Linked DNA regions of Xenopus tropicalis. The protein of the gene in region 3 interacts with the protein of the main gene of each other region in a pairwise test. Links are inferred from orthologs where the notes say so. Each region holds a gene or a part of one and is shown on either strand. Other genes may lie near its edges.

Evidence for each region. The genes of interacting proteins can lie anywhere in the genome.
Region 1: the proteins of srsf11 (region 3) and hyi interact in binary tests that used the Homo sapiens proteins (3 or more experiments, as listed by UniProt). The two-hybrid records come from large-scale screens. The link is inferred for Xenopus tropicalis from reciprocal best matches to the Homo sapiens genes SRSF11 and HYI.
Region 2: the proteins of srsf11 (region 3) and srrm4 interact in binary tests that used the Homo sapiens proteins (3 or more experiments, as listed by UniProt). The link is inferred for Xenopus tropicalis from reciprocal best matches to the Homo sapiens genes SRSF11 and SRRM4.

The regions. Positions count from the first base shown.
Region 1 is NC_030680.2:88,655,486-88,659,017, forward strand, and holds part of hyi (putative hydroxypyruvate isomerase), read right to left. Parts: intron 2,135-3,532; coding exon 2,085-2,134; intron 1,933-2,084; coding exon 1,863-1,932; intron 1-1,862. UniProt on the Homo sapiens protein: Catalyzes the reversible isomerization between hydroxypyruvate and 2-hydroxy-3-oxopropanoate (also termed tartronate semialdehyde).
Region 2 is NC_030677.2:165,776,354-165,780,009, forward strand, and holds part of srrm4 (serine/arginine repetitive matrix protein 4), read left to right. Parts: intron 1-973; coding exon 974-1,066; intron 1,067-2,014; coding exon 2,015-2,171; intron 2,172-3,656. UniProt on the Homo sapiens protein: Splicing factor specifically required for neural cell differentiation.
Region 3 is NC_030680.2:82,762,589-82,766,244, forward strand, and holds part of srsf11 (serine/arginine-rich splicing factor 11), read right to left. Parts: exon of another isoform or gene 3,462-3,656; intron 3,182-3,461; coding exon 3,072-3,181; intron 678-3,071; coding exon 585-677; intron 186-584; coding exon 136-185; intron 1-135. UniProt on the Homo sapiens protein: May function in pre-mRNA splicing.

The sequences.
Region 1 (3,532 bases), about 5.9 Mb from region 3:
CCTTCAGCTTCCCCCAGGGCCCCCCCAAGTATCCTTCAGCTTTCCCAAGTATTCTTCAGCTTCCCCCAGGGCCCCCCCAAGTATCCTTCAGCTTCCCACAGGGCCCCCCCAAGTATCCTTCAGCTCTCCCCAGGCCCCCCCCCAAGTATCCTTCAGCTTCCCCCAGGGCCCCCCCAAGTATCCTTCAGCTTCCCCCAGGGCCCCCCCAAGTATCCTTCAGCGTCCCCCAGGGCCTCCAAGCATCCTCCAGGTCCCCCACGGCACTCCCAGCATTCTTCAGCTTCCCCCAGGGCCCCCAAGCACCTTCCATTTCCCCCCTAACCTACCCCCAGCGGCCTCTGGCTCCCGTGATGTCTTCCTCTCTGTGCCGCGGCTCCCAGCTGCTTCTGTGCTTTTATAAGGTTGCGCCCTGTGCGTGTGACGTCAGTACGCACGGGCGCAACCTTATAAAAGCGAGGATGCGGCAGAGAGCCGCGGCACAGAGAGGAAGATACTTCGCCGTATAAGACGCACCAACTTTTTCCCCCCAGTTTTGGGGAAGAAAAGGTGCGTCTTATATGGTGAAAAATACGGTATTCGAAAACTTTTTTTTTTTTTTTTTACAAATGTCCATTGTTTGCTGCTTACCCCCCTCCTGTTAAACATACAACTACAATCCACATAAAGTGGTAGCATCACAATAACTACCTTTCTAAGTCACCTAAGTCACCTTTCTACTTTAGACAACCGTTAATAGTAATATAAAGATATATTTCATTTTCTTCCCTTTCACTACAGGCTCAATGGCAAAGGGAAACAAAAGAAAGAATAATTTGTATCCTGGTTCAAACTACTGTAGTTGGAATAAACTGCTGCCACTCTTAAAAGCCATAGGGAATGCTACGTGTTAAAGGGATTCTGTCACATTCATCATTTATATATAATTTATATCATATTAAAGGAGAAGGAAAGGCTAGTAAAGAGTTAATCTCAAGCTGCAGGCATACCTTCAGTTCTCTCAATAGTGCCCTTAAGTCTCCCCATATTTCACCTGTTCAGATGATCAGAAGCCAAACAGGAAGAAAAAACGCTGAGCTCTGTAAAGAAAGTTCCCATAATGCCTCACTCCTGCACAGACATGCAGACCTAGTGAACATGCTCAGTTAGTTAGACTATGAGTCAGCTTCCTGCTGATTGGCTCAGATCCACATTTCTAAAGGGGGGGGAGTGAGCGCTTAGCATTCTTGAGGGAGGGGGGAGCAGGAAAGAGCAGAGAACAGAAAGCTGCGTGTCTCTGGCAGAGGAATTACAGACACAACTAATCTTTTTTCAGAGAAGTCTGTGAGTGCTTATGGCTGTATTTACATAGACCTTTCTGATAAAGCTTACTTAGTTTTTACCTTTCTTTCTCCTTTAAACAAACAAACATTAGTACTGTGACTTCCAAGAATAATGTCACTGCATGAAAAATACAGTAGGAGGCAGGGAGGACTTTAGCACCCAAATACATTATATAGATTTAGAGGCAAAATGTTCTGCCAACCCAGTCCCAGTCCCCACCCCTAACCTTTCAAGAAGCAGGTTACCTAAAGCCTTGGGAAGGTTTCAGCATTGAACAGATCAAAATGAACTCAAAAATTGTTTGAATTGATAATGAAATGCCAGTTTAACCTTTTTCAGTGTCATTATATAAGCAGGGGTGAAAATGATCTGCAACCAGTCCTGCATATTGTTACATATCCAGCCCTGCTTCAAAGGTCATTTTAAGTACTAAAAAACATGTTATTTTATATAATTGATTTTACACATATAGGCAAAAAGTTCCTTTATGTTCATTGAGAAATAGATTTAAGATATATACAGTATAGTTCCATAAAGCTCACCAATTAAAGGAAAATAAGTCTTAATATTCTGTGTCAGGTTACCGCCCATGATCTGCCAATGGTACAGGTCCTGTTATATGAAATACTATGATGAGCAATTAAGTTATAAACAATTCAAACAAAGAATTACAACTTCAAATCAGTAGTAGCTTTGATGGAATATAAAAATATATTTTTCTAGAGAAACAATCACAAACAATGTATTTTGAGGTCAGTACTTACCATCTGAAGCTTTAAATTTGGTCTTTTCACTTTCTGCAGTATTGAGGCAGCTAAAAAATAACATGCTGTTAGCAAGCACAGAATTAAAGAAACATTGCCTACTGTCTTAGTCCATATAGCTACTGTGCCATTTCTTATAAGCATTTGTCATAACCAGGCACTTAGGTTATTTACCCCCGAACTCCACCTACTCCAAGGCTCCGGCACACGTGTGCATTGCTTTGCCCTAAAGTGAAAGGTTTTTGATGTGTATATGCACCCGAATGCTGAACACTGTGCCAGACATTGTGCAAAGAGGGCTGCCTCGGGAATTAAGGGTAGGCAGAGTAGGCAGGAGCCTAGGGCACAGTGTCGGGGAAGGGGGCACAGTTTGTATACATGTACTCCAAACTATACAAGGACCACTCAACAATTTACAGTTGAGTATAAATCCTTCTGCATTCTACGGGCTATGCTCTGCCATGAAATGCTGGTGCCACACTGTGTTATGAAATACTGGTATGGGTCCCTTAATGTGACTGCCTTAAAATGCTGGTGCAGGTTGCCACAATGTATCTATCTGGATGTGCTGATGGCCAGAATGTGTCAACGCTGTGTAATGTAATGAACTGCAGTGGGCCACAATGTGTCTGCCTTCAAATGCTGGAGCAGGGGGCCGCTATGTGTCTGACTTCTATGTTATAAAAAGGGTAAATCCAACTTTCCAAATTAAAATTTACATTTTTTAAAAAAAAAATATATTTTTTTTTGCATTTTTACCCCCTTTAACCACTGCTTTATCAGAACAGTTCCTAGTATACATTTACAAGATGAGTATAAGCTTTGTATTGATTTTCTTAGTGAGATATATAGAATAAAATAGTAGTAGCAACTTCTTTTGGCCATTAGAACCAAAGGACAGCTTGCAACTTTATTTAACAGCCTGAGGCATTTTATTCCCATCAGGTACATATGCATAGGCCTATGACTATGTAACTGAAACAATACAAATAAAGGACTTGGGGGCTTAAAGGAAAACTATACCCCCAAACAATGTAGGTCTCTATAAAAAATATATTGCATACACTAGCTTATATGTAAAACCCTGCTTCATCTAAATAAACCATTTTCATAAAAAAATACTTTTTTTTAGTAGTATGTGCTATTGGGTACTCCTAAATAGAAAATTGCCATTTTAAGAATTAAGGGCCGCCTCCTAGGATTCACAGTGCACACAAACAAGCCAAGGCACACATACATGCTAGGCCACATCAGCCAATTAATGGACAGGGTTCTGCCTTTTGCTTCCACACTTCTTCCTGTTACAGTTAGAGCTGCATTATTTCTGGTCATGTGATCTCTGAGGGAGCACACAGCCCATCACTAAATGGTGATTCAAGGGAAAGGAGTAAAGAGCAATATTTACTGATATACAGTATGTATTCCCTTATGTTAAGGCCACTTAACAT
Region 2 (3,656 bases), on a different chromosome or scaffold from region 3:
ATCATAGCACAAAAAAATGAGATTGTGGCAAAAATATAAATTTGAATCTTGATAAATCAGTCCCTAGGTGAAGTTTTTTTTTTAATTAATTTCCTGTTTTCAGGAGTGTCTTTTCATTTGCTAATTATGAGCAATCATGTCAAGTGATTTAATTTTTTAATTACAATTTTTTCTAAAGCTGATTTCAAAACATAAAAATTAAAAGAAGTTTACAACTTTGAACTTAATTATGATTTTGCCCCCTCAATTGCTAGCATATTTATAAAATATCTTGAATCAAAAAAACTCAATTGTGTTAAGTTGCTGATAAAACCTTGACACAAAAATTGCAAAAATTGCTAGAATGATGAAACACGCCTCTCATTAACTTCTATAGAAACTTACCCGGTTTTAGTTGCTGCCATTTTCACTAGAATATTCAAGACTTGTTTCATTTATAAACTTTGTTTGAAAATGTAGAATTGGAAAAATTGCAAGATCATGATTTTTGCAGTTTTAAAAACACTTTCTTGAATATTAATAATGTGCACCTTAGTGTTTAGCAATAGGATCTATTATCCAGAATGCTTGGGACCTGGGCTTTTCCAGATAAGGGATCTTTTTGTAATTTGGATCACCATACCTTAGGTGTGCTAAAAATATTTAATACATAAAATAAACCCAATAGAATTGTTTTGGAATCCTACAGCTTAGTTACCATCAAACACAGGAATATTTTATTATTGCACAGGAAAAGGAAATCACTTTTAAAAATTACATTTATTTTGTTAAAATGCCCTTCCTATTAATTTGGAGCTTTCTGGATAACGAGTTTCCCGATAATAAATCCCATATCTGCACTTTGTTGATTAATTTTAAGATACCAACCTTAATATGTCATTAGTGCATTTACTATATTTTATGTTTCTGAAAAATAAAATTTCAATCTACGGTGCTTGCAAGTTGATATGTTTTCTCTGTGCCTTCTACAAAGGTCACGTGGTAGGTCTCGGAAATCCCATCGTCATCATCATCGACATTCACGCTCATCAAGCTCAGAACACAGATCTTCAAGCTGTGAAAACAGGTAATAAGCTAATTATCTCTTGGGCTCTTCAATGGTACTACAATCAACCCTAAACTTTTCTTCATGTCTTGTCCCCCCATCTTGTAATGTTATGATGTTATATTAAGTATAAAAACTTGCACATATGTAATAAAAGGCACAAAACTTGCACAGTTGCAACAGCCCATAGAAACCAATAAGGTGTTTGCTTTTAAACAGGTGACCAGGAAATGCTACCTGCTGATTGGCCGCTGTAGATGATAAAAACTGCAGCAGTACCTTAACACTCATTTGTAATTGGCACAGTAACCCAATAAAATGTTTGCCACTAAATGCTTTTTGCTTGGTTGCTATAGGTAATTAGAAAAGTAGCAAACTTTGCACCTTTTACTGCATCTCCCCTTTAGTTTCTTAAAATAACATGAACATAAAAGTTTAAAGGAGAAGGAAAGGTTAAGTCACTTGGGGGTGCCAAAATGTTAGGCACCCCCAAGTGACTTAAATCGCATAATTTTTACCCCGGGCTGGTGCCCCTGTTCGGAGAGAACAGCACCAGCCCGGGGTAGCTGCGAGCGCTTCCTCTTCCGTATTCGCTGCGCGCGCATGCGAAGTTGAGTGAAAAAGCCGAACTTAAACATAGAAGTTGGCTTTTCACTCTACTGCGCATGCGCCGGCCCACGGATTTCGCCGGCAGCTCGCTGCAGGTACCCCGGGCTGGTGCTGTTTTCTCCTAACAGGGGCACCAGCCCGGGGTACAAGGTAAGTGATCTAAGTCACTTGGGGGTGCCTAACATTTTGGCACCCCCAAGTGACTTAGCCTTTCCTTCTCCTTTAAAATATTCTCTTCCGTCTTTTATATTGTCAATTGAGCTTTGCAAGTTGTTATACAATTGTACAATCCCGAGTAACTTACTGGCACTATATAAATGAATGATGATGTTCAAAAAACTTTCTTTTCTTTAATTACAGACTATATGATCAGTCAAAAGAGGAAAAACATCGATCAAAAAGAAAGCGACAAAGATGTAGAAATTCTAGGTCCGTAAACAAGAAAGAGAGGAAAGGCAAAAATCAATACAGCCCCCTGTCAACAAAAAACAGGTGTATGCACTCCACCAATACTGAAGTAAGTAGATCTTTTCAGTCTAAAGTTGCCCTTTTCACAAGGAAAGTGGGTGATTATATAATGTTGTAACTGTAGTGCCAGAAGGGCCTGGAAAATATTTATCAAATCCTCCATTTATTGATTCCTAAAACAAACAGATTTATTAATATTCTTTACCAGAGGCTGTTGAATTGGCACAATGGTGAGACTGCAACATGGGTTTATGTAGTAACACTGAAAAGGTGGGCCAGTCCAGTAACCAATAACAACTAATAAAAAATGTATAGTGAGCATAAGTGCAATTGGCAAACAGCCAATTGCAGGGTCCTCCCAAGTCAATAGGTGTGATTCGGTGTGACCGAAGAATTAATGTCCCTCCAGTGGAATTTCATGGTTCAGGGAAGCAGCGCCTCTCTGTCCACAATAGCGCTTTCTGCACCAGAAGAGCCAAAATCCCAATTTTAAAACATAATTTCTGCTATTTAAATTACCTGGTAACTTGCAGGGTGCTGCTGCCTGAGGTGAGTTTCTCAGCTTGCTCATGGCAGCAGCACCGATGTGTCCCTCTTAACTTTGCAAAAGTGTAGAGCAGCTTTAGGCACAAGGTGGGCAGCCACTACTGCACTTGTGGCTTGTAAATGACATTTCTCAATGCATATTGATGGTAAATCATGTTCAGTTTCCTGAAGAGGGGATGTCAATGTCCTAAAAGTTTGCATGGTTTTCTTAGTAGTATAGCAAGGATATAAAAAATAGTCTCTCCCAGGCTGGGTTGTCCATTTTTTTACTTTACTTCCTATTCAGTTCTTCACCTATTCATATTTCACTCTCTTTTAAATCACTGCCTGGTGACTGGGATAAATAAGACCGCAGCAACCAGATATCTGCTAAAATACCAAACTGGAAATCTGCTGAACAGAAAACTTAACAATTAAAAAACCACAAAAAATAACATAAGACCAAAACTGTCTTAGAATATCAATGTCTACATCATACTAAAAGTAAATGTAAAGGTAAACAATACCTTTTAAGGTGGCCACACACAGGGTGATGTATACAGTATTCCAAATGATCATCCCTGGGCCAAAAGGGTTTCCTATCTATTGGCTGATATTGACTATCATCTCAGCCACTTTTACTTCTGACAGGAATTTGGGCAGATATTGAAATAGCCCCAAAATGCTGCCAATCCCAGGCAGGTCTGCAAGCCCCCCCATGTTATCCCACTTTTCAAGAATCAGGTAAGAATCAGCTAATTTGGTGACCTTGTTAAAACAGGACATACAATTTGGCCATAGACTGCCTAAAGTTTACTTTCAATTTGAATAACTATTGAACTTGACTCATGAGCATGCATCTGTGGCCAGGTCTGATCACTGGGGACCCACCCCATGCAGCCAAAAGATAATAACACAAAGACAGATGGGATCATTAGTCCGCCACAATAATTACCCAATTATTTAAAATCAGATTGTAAGGATATATTTTTAGTATATCCAGTCATAG
Region 3 (3,656 bases):
GATTATGGAAATACCATGTGTTACAGGGTGTAACCATTAAAAATTACAAACTATAGTTGGGTAGAGAGCTACTTGAGAAGCTACCAAAAAACAAAACAAAAAAACCTACAAATAAATAGAATTAGGGAAACTTACTTTGGATCAACGGTGCTCATAAGCTTTAAAAGCTGATCTGCTGCCAGAGACTGAAAGAAAATACACAAGCTTAGAAGATTAAAACATTACATATGACATATCTTACATATGAATGGATATGTTTAAAGGGGATCTATATAGTCAAAAACACAATCAATTTTTGGGTTCCCCACACAAACTTATCACCAAATTTACCTGCATTAATAATTTTGCACCATTTAAGAAATACCTGCAAAAGTTTTCAGCATTCCTCTGCCCACTCTACATTTGCTGTTTTGATTTTAAATACCTTAAACAAATCTATATAAACTGTAATAAGTTACAGAGACAGAGTCACACATGAGGTTCTCAAGACAAAAGGGATGCTTTCATTTGAAACACAAGCAAGGTAAATAGCCATGCATGCAAACATCCACCTAGTAAATAAGCAGATTATAAACAGGAGGTACCTGTGAATTTAAGTTTGCTCCAGGAAGAGTGAGGGCTGCAAGAGTTGGATCAAGTGTAGGGGCTCCCAATGCAGCAAGTGGGACAGCACCAATCTATGTGGGGAAAAAAGTAAAAATGTTCAACACATAGCTATACAGAAAATATATTTCTCACAATTGCTTATTTTGGCTTAGCAAGATTTTGTGTACAACAATAGAAGGATACACTTAGAAGTCAAACTGATCTAGCGCGCAGTTAGAAACTAAAAATGGATATACAACTCCAATGCAGGCAATTTTAGAAGTTAATACAAAGTAAACTTCTTGTATGTTTTAGTATATGCCTAAATAGCAATTTCAAATGTTGCAAGGGCCATGACAGACATTTGGCTGCAATGCCTCAAACACTAGGGGGAACATTTACTAATCCACGAACGTCCGAAAAGCGTCCGAATGCGTTTTTTTCGTAATGAATGGTATTTTGCGACTTTTTCGAGCGCTCAATACGAAAAAGTCGCGACAATTCGCGAAAGTCGTAACGGCTATGAAAAAGTCGCGACAATTCACAAAAGTCATAATGGCTATGAAAAAGTTGCGACAATTCACGAAATTTGTAATGGCTATGAAAAAGTCGCGACAATAAGCGCAAGTCGTAACGGCTACGAAAAAGTCGCAAAAAATACGAAAAAGTCGCAAAATGTTCGTTTTCCAATCCAAATTTTTCCCATTCGGATTCGTGGATTAGTAAATCAGCCCCTAGGTATACAACTACAAACAGTTAACTATTCCAATTATGAAAATCACTGTTTATATAGCCTATACAGTACACTGTTTGAGAAGTGCTGGTGCCAAAATAATAGATTCTACCATTTGTCAAGCACTTTTCAATGAGGCCACAGTTTCACTTCAACCTATAGAGAAGGTAAAAAGGTTGTACTGAAAGCAGTAATATGAAAACGACAACCACCCTATCTTGTCAAAAAATAGTATGAACAACATATTTGTTTGGATATATACAGGAGGGCGTGTTTGACCTGATAATTAAAATGAAAGATCCTGGCCCATGCCCCCTTAAGGACAGTCCTGTACATAAGAGGCACTTGGAAGCTGAATGTTTCCCTGTAACAAAACGCAAGTAGGCTTGGTCTTTTAGAGGAATGGCACATTTAATATATCCCTGCCATTAAATTTGCTCCATTGTGGTCAATAAAACATCAGAAAACTGCTCTGAATAGAAGGCAGTGTGAATTTTTGACGCTAAAATGTAACCAACAGAAAATGCATTTTCTGACAGTTAAATAATTCAGATGTTTTAACACCAGTGAGTCGCATTGCCTTTTGTTCATAGAATTTCTGATGGTTTTTGTCACCCACAATGGAGGAGATAAAGCTGTGGGGACAACACACCCTCTAGAATAAAGGATTCTGCCTTGATATGAGCAGCAACAAAATGTCTGGTCTTTATGTTTGCAAGTTGAGAACAATCTAGTTTTTTCTTAAAGCAATTTAGGAGTTCTGTGAGGTAATAAGTATAAATTGTCAGTGCAATTGCAAAAACGTCCTACAATTATCACATGTCCACAACTTTACCATTGTATAGATCTTCTTTTACAAAATACAAATATCAATAAATACTGTTTAGATATAACTATTACATAGTTCCCTCATTTTTACACACCAACATATAATGTATAGTGTATCTCCCTGATATTTCAATCCCCCGAAACACATAAATGGGGTTTCAACTTTATTAAATAATATCTATGGTTTCTGTCATTTCTGGCACTAAACACAAAAATGAAGGCAGTTTCACTTTAGCACTTCCTGTAACTTTCTGATGCAGGAGAACTTCAGAGAAACCGATACAATGAATTAACAGTCCACCAAGAAGCCCTTGATAATAAGCTGTTAAATGTCTACAGCTTAGAGAAGGGAGGTGCTGGTTTGTTTAATAGGGACCGCTGAACAAATTGCCCTGTTTATACAAATTAGTGCTTTATGTGACAAATATGAAAATATGGATTTTTTTTTTAAATTAAAACAATAGGCAGGATGCGATTTCAACACAAGCACTTTTTATTTATTGAGTTAATGTTTAGCAAAGGTGTTTTTTTAGGTGTATACTGTACCTTTAAATCTACTCAGCTAAAAGCCTCTGGTTGGATCAGAACTCCAAAACAATACTAGACGCGTGCGGCATTCTACCCTACTTTATCAAAAGTTAGATCTCTTTTAAACATGTATGTTCCGCTACACCTCAACACAGACACAAATCACAGCCTAATCAGTTTATGGAGGACAACAGACTCAGAATTCATATTCTAAACCCTGCAGCTGCTCTTGCTCCATGTGTATGTTTGGACGTGTCTATATCTTGGCTAAGTGGCTATCGTTAAACTTAGGGCCCTGGCAGAAGGAACATTAAGCACTGTTGACAAAACCTCCCATCTGCTATCACCCTTATAATTGATTTTAAGTTGTAAAATCATAAAAACGTGTAATACATACCTGACTGAGTGGATTAGGAGTGGGAAGAAGCCCTCCTCCGGGCAGTAAGCCTGCAACTGCATTAGCTGGCGCCACCAATGACAGGGCTTTGGCCTCATCAGGAATTATTCCTGCAGAAAAACCACCAAGTATTAGATGCACTGTTTTGTGACGTTAAAACAAACAATTTGCAGACACGGTCTCCCTGCTCTATCAGTTGAGCTTGCTGGAAGCACATATTTGGCTGCCAGCTTCTAGCACTATATACAGTTAACTTTTAATTCTAAGCCAGTAATTCTGACTTATCCCTTTGTTTTCTTTTAATAACAATTTGGTTAATTGATCTAGGGTAGAAAAAAAACTGCACAATATACACTACTTTTTGTGTTAACACTGCCGAGATTTTATCACCTGTACTCGAATTTTAAGTCATGAACCAAACGTAAGCAAGCACAGTCGGTTCTCCAGGGGTGTGCTCTCAACTTTCAAAAGCTGTTTTATGAACAACGACTCGTGTCGGCTGCTTCACTATAAAGCACACAGAAAAATCAAGATACACAAGACAAAAAAGTTTGATTTAGGGATTAATAAGATGGAACAGTTTTC